3 linked regions of the Mus musculus genome follow. The protein of the gene in region 2 purifies or fractionates together with the protein of the main gene of each other region. This does not show direct contact. Links are inferred from orthologs where the notes say so. Each region holds a gene or a part of one and is shown on either strand. Other genes may lie near its edges.

Region 1 (3,747 bases), about 6.5 Mb from region 2:
ATAATAAATAAATAAATCTTTAAAAAAAAAAAAAAAAACCATCATAAACCGATCATTCATTCCCCACCCCAGCTTGGCTTAAGTTCCAACATCTGGAAGAGTGACTACGGTCATGGGACTAGGACTAGGGATCAGGGACCATTCTTCTTCTTTATCTTTGTGCACCCCACTCCCCTGGCCAATACAAAATTATGCTCTCCCCCGCTAAAGGCTTACAGAGGATCGATGCAGTAGCACTTGAGGGCCCCTCTGCAGCCACTGGAGAGGGCCCCCCTCCACTGCCAGCATCTGAAGTTGTATTGCCAGAGCTGCAGGGCTGGACAGGGGCGGCGGCAGGTGAGGCAGGCGTGGTGGAGGGTGCAGAGGCAGAGTCAGGAGTGGATGGAGGAGAAGCAGCAGCAGTCACTGGATCTTGAGCCCTGAGGACAAAGAGTAGGGAAACCTGGCTGGAGTGTGCACAAGTGACAAGGTGGCCTTGGACTGACAGCTCAAGCCACCTCCTAAGCAGCCTTGTTCCACCCTTACCCCAGGCTAGCAGGATGCTGGGGAGAGGGATGGTATCAGTTATCAACAGTCTCTAAGGCAACCTGGGAGTACTGACAGGCTCCCCCAGAGGTAAGACCTTATCCATCTGTGCCAGGCCTGGCTGCTGAACAGGTGAGAAAGAATGGGAGGTGAGGTCACAATCAGGAGCAAGGGCAGCTCCTGTCTGTACTTACTTCTGAGGGGTTTTGATGACTAGGTGGACTGTGAGCCCATCCTTGATGCCGTGCTGGCTCAGGGTGTCCCCATCCTTGAGGATCTTGCCTGCGAAGATCAGGACCAGCTGATCCTGCTGAGCCTTAAACCTCCGGGAGATCTCCTCCTTGAACTGTGGTCAAGAGGCAGAGATCACTGCAGAGGCCAACTGCGCCCCGCTGCAAGACTTGACCCTCAGTTCTGCCCCTCTAGCTACAAGAATCCATTCAATTAGTTCCATGACACAGTATCCCAACCCTGGAAAGCCCCTGCTGCTATCCACAACAGCAGCTTCTGTCCCACCACCCAATTCTCTGAAAGTGATACCTCACAGAGGCATGGGCAGCCCTCCCCATCCTAAATCCTTCAACTAGCCTTGGGCTCAGGCTGTCTCTCTTCAGCCTTCTCTCTGCTTTTCAGTCCCAGCTTCCTCATCACTATAACAGATAATCTAGAGTATTATTGAGATCTATTGAGGAATCTAGTGTGTTAGTTACCATCTCTACTTAATTAAATTAATTAAATTTAATTAATTAATTAATTAATTAAGAGACAGGGTCTCTGCATGTAGCTCTTGCTGTCCTGGAACTTTCTATGTAGACCTCGAACTCAGATAGATCCACCTGCTTCTACCTCCCCAGGGCTGGGAATTTAAAGATAAGGATCAGAGAAGAGGTAATGTATCCGGGGATATAGGAACTCAGGTCTGGACATCAATGTCTTCATCAGACACATTCTCAATAAGAGCTGTTTTATAATTCAGCTTTTCCCAGGGGACTTAAAATTCTCTAATGAGAGAGCAGCAGTGGTACCAACGGCTACACTGGGGCGAGTTAAATTTTCTAGATTCTATCAGCTCCTCCAAAACACAACACAACACAACACATATTCTAACTATAAACAGTGCACTTGCTAAGCAAAAGATCCCTCTCTTCCAACCAGATGGCCTATTCTAAGCCCCGCCTATGTGCAATTCTGGAGCAGCTTCAAGCAGTGGGGAACACAGGCAATACTCCCTCACTCATTCTATATTATTTTGTTGAGCACCTACTGCGCTCAGCAAATCCTGTAGAGCAGAAAACTGAACTACACAACCGTTTCGATTTGCGACAAGGAGGCTCTGTGGAGAGAGAGAGAGAGGGAGAGAGAGAGAGAGAGGGCACCACCACCACGCGACACTCCCGGGAGAGCATAGCCGCAGCTCGCTCGGGCCGCACGGTGCCTTAGCGCCTGGAACCTCTACCAGTGACCCTGGAGCACACTCTCCTCAAGCCTAGGCTCCAAATGGAGCCCGCAAGCAAGGTGTCCCTTCCTCAAGCTCCCCCACCACGCCCCCAGCCCGGGTAGCGCGGCCAAACCGGCCCCTACCCGCGCCACGCTCCCCGGACTAGCCCTGGCAGGGCGCCCCCTACCCGCTTCTCCCGCCTGTATGCCCCTGGATTCCGCCCCGGCCGGGGGCCCGTCCCCGGCGCCAGGCCGACCCCGAGGTCTCCCTCTCTGCTCTGACCCCCTCGGTGCGCTGCTCCCGCCCTCCTGTCTCCTCCCAGCCAGATACTACCTCCTTGACCGAGGCTTGATCGCAGATCACGATCTCCTCCTTGTCCTTGGGGGTCTTGACGGTGACCCGAATCTGGGGCCTCGTCTCAGCCCCACTCGGCTCCGCCATGCCGCCGCCCGGCCGCCCGCCAGCCCGTCCGGCTCCTCCTCCTCCTCCTCCCGGCCCGCCCGGCCCGGCCCGACTCCGGGGCCTCCAACTCCCCCTCCCGCCCCTCCCCAAGGCTCCGCCGCCCACTCCGGACAGCCGCAGCCACAGCGCCCCGGGCGGCCTGGGGGAGCACTGCAGCTGGGGCGGCCCAGGCCCGAGCAGGGTGCGCAGCTGGCCCGGGCCGGACAGCGCGGAGGGCGGGAGATTCAGGGCCGCCTGCGGCTCCCTCCTGTTCGGACAAAGGACTTTCGTTGTCGCCGTCTTATCTCCGTTCCCTGGGGTCACTTGGTTTTCTTGAGAGGCCTGGGTTCGTTCCTGGTTCAGGACGTCCTTAAGACCTCTGCGGATTCGAGCAGTCGTGGCCTCCGGGGAACCGCCCCGAGGGAGCCATTAAGGACGGTTTCAGAGACCTGGAGTTTGCCTACGTGGCTTCTCTGAGCCTTGGGAGTAAAAGAGCAAGACCCCACAGAATTGTGACTAGCGTACAATATTGCTTTAAAAAATGGTCAAGGATGTGCCTAACAGATAGATTTATTATTAGATTGCGATTGACCAGTAGGCACGAAGGCGTCCTTCGCGTGGAAGATGTTAAAAGTATTTCCACCGTTGCCACTGTCCTTGCGCTCCCGCTCTCCCCCCCCCCAACTCCACAACCACATGGTCCCACTGGAACGCTGAACTATGGTTCCCAGAATTCCTTGAGCGATCACATGAAACTACGATTCCCAGAGGCCCTCGCGCGGGGCGGGAATTGGGCCAGAGCCTCAGTAGATGGGCCCGGTGACTACAACTCCCAGGCGCCTCGTAGCTGGGCTCCTGGGCCACCGGAAGCGACTGAGGGAGAGCAAGAGGCTGCGACTGTAGGGGTGTGTTGGTGCAGGTCAGGGTTAAGAGACGCAGGCATGCTGCGTCCCAAGGCTTTGACGCAGGTGCTAAGCCAAGCCAACACTGGAGGAGTCCAGAGCACCCTGTGAGTGAACAAGAACCCAAGCAGCGAGCGCTGGAATGGGGCGGCGCGCGGCTGTCTGCAGTAGGGGTAGGGAAGAGCCCTACGCCGGGAGGTGGCTAATGTTGCAAGCTGCAGCTTCGGAAACCCTGCTTGAGGGCTTCCTCGGAAAGGGAAATGGACAGTTGATTAGCGTGTTCCTGGATTCTTGCTTCCTAAAAGCGCCAGTAGCTGGAATTGGGATAGGAACTCAGACCTTTCACTCTTCCTGAGTTTGTTGATATCCTTCCCATTCTTGCCAGGCTGCTGAATAATGAGGGATCGCTGCTGGCCTACTCCGGTTATGGGGACACAGATG
Region 2 (3,747 bases):
AATCATTCCATTATATAGGTGGGATCGCAGGCAAGTGCCAACAGGTCTTCTTTTCTTTGACCCCCAGAAAAGGTCTTATTGTGTATAACCCTGGCTGCCCTGGAACTCATTATATAGATCAGGCTGGTCTAAAACCCACAGATGCCTGCCTCTGCTTCCCAAGGGTTGGTGTTAAAGGTTAATTAACAAACCAAAATAACTTGCTGGCTATCCTTCGTTCCTTGGGTGATTACATGGTGTTTACTGCGGGCTGGGGAAATGACTCAGTGCTTATGAGAGAGCGCTTACTGCTCTTCCTAGAGGACCAGAGTTCGGTTCCCAGAACTCAAGACAGGCAGCTCACAGCTGCCTGGAACTCCAGTTCCGGATTTGATATTCTCTTCCAGCCTCTGCAGGGCCTGAATACACACACAAACGCTTAAAAATTTTTTTTGGTTTGTTTTTTTTTTTTTAATTGGTCAAAACTTTTCTGGATTCCTTCATCCTGTCAGACTCAATACTGGAGTTAGGAATTGCATAGATTTTTTTTTTTTTTTTTTTTGGTAGGCAGTAGATAGGTAAATCGAATTTGAGGATACAAGTGTTTGTAGCAGTTGCATAAACACAGTGCAATGGGAAACAGGAAGTTAAAATGTGGTTAACGATGCTGACACACTTTTTAAGTGATTATGCTTGGACTGACATATCCACAGTAGTGTATGCACTCATGAGTGTCTGTTATGTGTTCGAGGCAGTGTCACTACGTAGTAGCTATGTTGCCCACGTTGGCCTGGAAATTGCAGTTCAGATCTTAGCATGAGTGTGCCCCTTGTAAACAGCACTGGGAGGTGAAGCAATAGAGTTTATTAGCCTGAGCTCCACAGCGAATTGCTGTCATCCTTTTTCAAACCGTAACAACAAAAACAAATCAAAAACCCAAATATACAAAAGAAAGAGAGCAGAAGAGGGGGTAAATTACAGCTCTCCTGCCTCACACTGGAGTGTTGCTGCCAGGCGAGTGCAGAGAGCTTACAGCTGTTCCGGAAGCTGCTGCGAAGGTAGCCAACTCTATTGGATAACCAACCTTTCCATTTCTGTGGCGCCTACAAGTCCCAGAACACACCGCGGGGCGCGGAGGCGGGGCAGCATGAAGACTGAGTTCTTTGATTGGTGATGAGCACCAGGCCAATCGGAGGTGCTGTTGTTTGTCAGTCCCGGAGCCGGTCCGCAGAGGGAAGGAGGCAAGATGGTGTTGGAGAGCACTATGGTTTGGTGAGGAGCTTCGGACGTGGCTGGGGGGCGCGTCTGGGTTGTTGGTGCGCGTGGCGCCGAAACCCGAGGGCCTGGGCTGGGGACTGGGTCGCCGGGCGAGATGTGGCTTCGGGGCCCGCGGGACTCTGGCAGACGACTCCCTGAGTCATCCCGGCCCAGGAACGCAGGCCCGGGAACTCCTGTTCCCTTCCCTGAATTTCAGGTCTCCCATAAAGCAGAGGCCAACTGCCCCCTCCACTCGCCTCCAAGTTTTTCTTTTCTCTGTACTTTATCGCATGTAAACCTCACAACCGCATTCTTGGAAAATAGTCCTTGTCTCATAATGAGTCGGAAGGACTTTAGGGGATCCGCTGTAGTCACACAGCAAATTAAGAGGCCGTGATAAGCAGGATGAACTAGGTTTTATCAGGTTTATACTTGGGATGAGTACCTATTAAGAGTTAGATTAGAAACTGAGGACAAGAAAATAAATAGAAAGCTGAGAACATATTTTTTTTCAGGGCTACAAGAGGACTTTGTTTTGTGTTTTCTGGGAATTGAATCCAGAGCATTGTGAACGCTGGGAACGTGCTCTACCAATGAGCCTCATCACACACCTGGATTGCATTTATTATTTGTCATCATTATTGTTTTAGATGGAGCTTTGACACTGTAGCTCAGACTGGCTTTGAAGTCGCTATTTGAGAAGATGCACAGGTTGGCCTTGAACTTGGAATGAGTATGTAGGATTAAAAACTTGAGTCACTAGGCCCATGTTTTCATTTGGAGATTGGCTAGCACTGCCACCTAAATGCAGGATGGCTTAAGCTTGGTTTCCTGCACTTGGAGGATGAGACAGGGAGTTTTCATGATCAGGACTACCTAGCAAGGTTCTGTCTCAAAATAAGACTACCAGAATGCCCAGTTAAATTTGAATTTCAAGCAAATCATGAGTGATTTTTTAGTATGAAAGGGAATTTTAAGTCCAACCCAAATATTGCTCTTACAAGTTACTTGTTGGGGCCGGGCAGTAGTGGCACACACCTTTAATCCCAGCACTTGGGCAGCAGAGGCAGGTGGATCTCTTAGGGGTTGAGGCCAGCCTGGTCTATAGAGCAAGTTCTAGGACATGCAGAGAAGCCCTGTCTCAAAAGGTGGTAAAATAAAACAAAAACAACAACAAAATAGTTACTTGTTGAGGGTGGTGAGATGGTTGGGTGGGTAAGAGCACAGAGTTTGGTTCCAAGCACCCATGTTGTTTGCTGCTGCCTTCTTTTTTTTTTTTTTTTTTTTTGGTTTTTCGAGACAGGGTTTCTCTGTGTAGCCCTGGCTGTCCTGGAGCTCACTTTGTAGACCAGGCTGGCCTCGAACTCAGAAATCCGCCTGCCTCTGCCTCCCGAGCGCTGGGATTAAAGGTGTGCGCCACCACGCCCCTCGCTGCTGCCTTCTTGACAGGACCAGAAGATCAGTGCCTTTGATCTCTGTAGGTGCCCGCACACACACCTAAAAACAATAAATATAAATCTCGAAAGTTACTCATTATTCATCTGAAATTAAAATTTAACTTTTAAGTCCTATATTTTTGTTTTTTTTTTTTTTAATTTTTTTTTTTTTTTTTAGATTTATTTATTTATTATATGTAAATACACTGTAGCTGTCTTCAGACACACCAGAAGAGGGAGTCAGATCTTGTTACGGATGGTTGTGAGCCACCATGTGGTTGCTGGGATTTGAACTCTGGACCTTCGGAAGAGCAGTCGGGTGCTCTTACCCACTGAGCCATCTCACCAGCCCTATTTTTGTTTTCTAAGTTTGCTTTCACTTCTGGGATAGAGTATGTTAAAATAGAAGATGGATTTAGAATCCAAACAGTTCCCTGGCTCTCACTTACATTTTGCATATTGTTGGAGAATTGTAGTAACTTCTCTGTGTCTCATAGTACAAGCAGGTAAGCCATATGTGATGGTGCTCTGTAAAGTATAGAGCTCTGTAGCGGCATGGTGTTTGGGGAATCCTCAGAATTTAAGAGCTGTAAAAAGACATGTTGAGGAGAGGTCATTACAAAGTTGCTGAAGTAAGAGTCCCGTGTTTGGGAAATAGACCAGAGTGAACCTTAACATAGATTGTTGTAAGGTGGGAGGAGTCACTGTAGAAAGAAATGACTGAAGAGCTTGAACTCTGTTCTATACCCCAGTGAGAAGATTCTGAGGGTGATGGAGTCAGACCTTTGTACAGACTGACACTGATTTAAGAATATTGATCTGGCCAGATGTGGTACACACCTGTTGAGAACACTGGATGGTTGAGACAGAAGGATCATGAGTTCAAGGCCAACTTGGAATGCATATTGAGGTCCTGTTTAAAAAAAACAAAAAACAAAAAAAAGCCAGGCATGGTGGCACACACCTTTAATCCCAGCACTCGGGAGGCAGAGGCAGGTGGATTTCTGAGTTGAGGCCAGCCTGGTCTACAGAGTGAGTTCCAGGACAGCCAGGGCTATACAGAGAAACCCTGCCT
Region 3 (3,747 bases), on a different chromosome or scaffold from region 2:
ATGGTCAAAAGACTTAAAAATAAAAAGAGTGTTAAGGGTAAAACATAACCTCACTTAATTTATAAATGTTACCTAAATACTCTTTTAAACTAAAAATGTTTTCTACATGTAAGCACTCATTTTCCTTAAGTTTTTACAAGGAAAACAAACATAATTTTCATTCCATTAAAGCATTTATTAAGTAATCTAGCTCTTTACCATTCAGTCCCTACAGGTATACTGAGAATGACTCCACACTGCTAACAGAAAAATTCCATTAGTAGCAACGTTTCTCCACCTCTCTCACTGCCTCTGCCATGGTAAGGGTGAACTAAATAACCGAGTGACAAGAGAGTAAAAGTGCAATTACCCAGAAGTAGAAGGATGGAGTACAAATAGGATTCCTGTCTGCTCTCTTTCACTGTAAGCAGCTACTCTCCTAGGAAAAAAGCTAGAAACATGGAAGCCTGAGAAGACTTTTCTAGTTCTGACCCTCCTTTGAGACACATCTTAATACATGATATAGCCTGACCTTGTCAATTTCCAAAGACCCTAACTGAATGGAGACTCGACTCTATTGAATTACTTCTCCCCTTTCAGTTCTGTGGGAGACTGGCCCCAAAACAAAACAAACGTCACCAACAAAACCCTTATACTTGTTTCCTTCTCTGCTTGTGCCCTAAAGCTATCTACATCTTCTACACAACATTTACTGAACCCTGTACTAGAAACTGAATTTTTCTCTGGCTTTAAGAAAAAACAAACAGGGCCAGGCCTGTTGGTGCACACCTCCCAGCACTTGGGAGGCAGAGACAGGTGAATTTCTGAGATCGAGGTGTAAGCCTGGTCTGAGTGAGTTCCAGGACAGCCAGGGCTACACAGAGAAACCCTATCTCAAAACCACCCCCCCCCCCAAAAAAGGAAAAAAGAGGGAAAAACAAAACAACAACAACAAAAAAAAAAAAAAACCAACAACACAGGCAAATAAACCTGTTACATAAACTCGCTCCCAGTTTGTGTGTAAATAACGCCAGGTGGTCAAATGAAGATTTCTAAACCTTTTAACTTGGTACTGCTACATTCAAGGGCTCTGTAAATAGAAGCTAAGTTTTGGCTCTTAAAGCCTAGTTCCAATTGCAGACGAGCACATTACACACCCAATAAACGATCCTCCAGCTTTTTGTCCTTTAGATCTGTGAACATCTTTCTACATTCCTAGCATCTTAAATCATTAAGTTAAAAGGGCAGTCTGGACAAACACAGAGGGTCTGTCTAGCCGGTGACATGTACAAACTGTACTTTGTGTCTGTAATCAGCATATACTGAGCCTAAAACAAAACCAAGCATGGAATAAACATGTTATGCACACTATAGAGATAATGTCCCAACATTAACTTAATTCAAAATGCACCAACGAGGCCTTAAGACTACACGTAGTTATTCCGAATAGATGGACACCCTCATCTGGATCTTATAAAGGCTTTGCAGAAAATACAGGTAAAGAGAAATCAACCAATTTAAAAACTGAGCTTTCAGATCCTAAAATGCAAACGATGGCCGGCTCTTCCTAAAGATTGGCAGCGGCGCAAGTAGTAGAGGCTGAGACTCTCCAAACTGGAAGCATCACGGGCCGCCTCCAAGAGCAGGGACATCCACGATTTTAAACTCGGCGGGCGGGCAGGCATGTCCTGGGCGTCCGGACCCGCCAGCGTGGCCTCTGTGCCCGCCAGGAAGCCCCTTCTGCACATCTGCGACCCGCACTCTGAGCTGAGGCCTAAGCCTGGCAGCCGCCTGGGCTGTGGTCACCACCGGACATTCCAGAGCAGAAGGCGACAGGAGAACTGGGACCCGGAAAACGGGGGCGGGGAAGCTGGGGGCGCAGGGACCCCGAGAGGACGACCCAGACTCGGCCTTACCCTCTCATGGTGAACTTGACCACGGCAAGTCTGGAGCCCGCCCCGCTCAGCTCCGGCTGGAAATCTGGATCGCTCCCGACCGGCTTCACTCCCACCATCCTCACAGAGAGCCCGGCAGGGCGGCCGCGACGCTTCCGGCCTCAAAACTGAAGCACAGAGCCCGAGAGAGGCCGGAGACGGGCTGCAGGAGGCCGGGGCCTGGGCGGGAACGGCGACCACGACGTGTCCTCCCGGAGCTGCGAGTGCCGAGTCACGCCAGGGAGCAGGCGAGCGGAGGGGGAGGAGACGCGGGCTGGGAGGCGAGCGAGAGGGGCAAGGCGCGCAACACCCAGCAGCCACCGCGCGGGCGCTGAGGGAGCCTGGGCCCGCGCGCGTTGGACGTCATTTCCGCCACTTCCTTTTGCGTGCCCACCTGAGGCGCTCACTGCCGGAAGGGCGCAGGCGCAGGCGATGGCTGTCGATTCCTTGGCGCCGCTGTGCTTCTGAAATTGCTCTCCTACTAGCTTCGCTGACCTAAAGTTCTCTTCTGTTCTGTTTTGCTTTGTTTTCACCAAGCGCTGACTTTGAGGAGACCGGGCTAAGGGACCCTCCTTCCCTATGCGGGCGCGTGACGGCACCCTTTACAAAGACTGACGGGCGAGTCACTCGACACGTCATGGGAACATTGCTTTATGGATTTCATTATCTATGGGTGTTCCCCGAGCAGACATCCCAAATAATGTACCCATATGTACCCAAATAATGCCAAAAAGCGACGCCCCCATTTCTTCAGGAATCTGGAGTCTAGTGACACACAAAATTAACAAATACGAAAGTTGGAAGCACAGGAAGTGAGCTTGTGACACAGGGTAAAGGGTGGACGTAACTTCAATCTTGTAGAGTGGGTTTTTTTAAAAAGGAGCAGGAGTTGGAAAGTAAGTGGGCAGGAGATACAGAAGGATCGCAGCAGGAGGGAACTGGGATGGACTTGATCAAAAACACATAGGCATGTATGAAATTCTCAAAAATATATTTGATATAGGATGTAAAAAATGCATGAAAGTCACCCAATAGTTTTTTGAGTAAAGAAAAGTAATTCGATTTTGAAAGAGAAAGGTAGTTGAGCAGTGGTGGCGCATGCCTTTAATCCCAGCACTTGGGAGGCTGAGGCAGGCAGATTTCCGAGTTCGAGGGCAGCCAGGAGTATACAGAGAAACCCTGTCTCGGAAAAAAAAGAGAGAGAGGGAGAGAGAGAGAGAAAGGTATTAGAAATATTCTAGATATGTGCAAGTGAATTCAAAGTGCAGATAATAGGTAATATTTGCTTAGTACATACATCTCACTATGTATATATATCCATATATATTTATGTATATATATCCATATATATTTATGTATATATATCCATATATATTTATGTATATATATCCATATATATTTATATATATTCACGTTAGACACTGTAATGACTTTAATAGAAACTGGCAGAATTTTCCATAATCTCTGCAACTGGTCCTATAGGGATGGGCAAGCCATTAACCTCTCCAAACTTTGTCATTCTTGTCTGGGAAGTGTGTTACTATCTACTTTGCAGAATTGTGAATTATAATGATGTTCAAACCAAATATACAATACCAAGCAAACACTATTTATAAACAGTTGTAAGTTAGTCAGCTAGAGCTGTGTTAACAAAAATGCCACAGGAAAAAGTGGCTTGTACAACAGAAACATCTCATGGGTCAGCAAACTGGAAGTCCAAAAGAGTGGGAAGTGGTGGGTGCTACAGTCCTTCAAGCCGGTGGCGACAGGAACAACACTGGACACCAAGGCGGTTCACGCAATAGCTTCTTTGGGCTTTTTCCCCTACAGCTCT

Evidence for each region.
Region 1: the proteins of Psmd4 (region 2) and Ubqln4 purify together in Homo sapiens (affinity purification with western blotting; 4 studies listed by BioGRID, with this or other methods). This does not show direct contact. The link is inferred for Mus musculus from reciprocal best matches to the Homo sapiens genes PSMD4 and UBQLN4.
Region 3: the proteins of Psmd4 (region 2) and Txnl1 purify together in Homo sapiens (affinity purification with mass spectrometry; 3 studies listed by BioGRID, with this or other methods). This does not show direct contact. The link is inferred for Mus musculus from reciprocal best matches to the Homo sapiens genes PSMD4 and TXNL1.

The regions. Positions count from the first base shown.
Region 1 is NC_000069.6:88,552,462-88,556,208, reverse strand, and holds the start of Ubqln4 (ubiquilin-4), read right to left. Parts: upstream 2,494-3,747; 5' UTR 2,405-2,493; coding exon 2,297-2,404; intron 2,271-2,296; exon of another isoform or gene 1,790-2,270; intron 872-1,789; coding exon 720-871; intron 420-719; coding exon 217-419; intron 1-216. Other genes in the region: ragulator complex protein LAMTOR2, read left to right, coding at 3,346-3,413, 3,692-3,747. UniProt on the Homo sapiens protein: Regulator of protein degradation that mediates the proteasomal targeting of misfolded, mislocalized or accumulated proteins.
Region 2 is NC_000069.6:95,040,012-95,043,758, reverse strand, and holds the start of Psmd4 (26S proteasome non-ATPase regulatory subunit 4), read left to right. Parts: upstream 1-1,144; 5' UTR 1,145-1,225; coding exon 1,226-1,251; intron 1,252-3,747. UniProt on the Homo sapiens protein: Component of the 26S proteasome, a multiprotein complex involved in the ATP-dependent degradation of ubiquitinated proteins.
Region 3 is NC_000084.6:63,690,181-63,693,927, forward strand, and holds the start of Txnl1 (thioredoxin-like protein 1), read right to left. Parts: upstream 2,180-3,747; 5' UTR 1,994-2,179; coding exon 1,896-1,993; intron 1-1,895. UniProt on the Homo sapiens protein: Active thioredoxin with a redox potential of about -250 mV.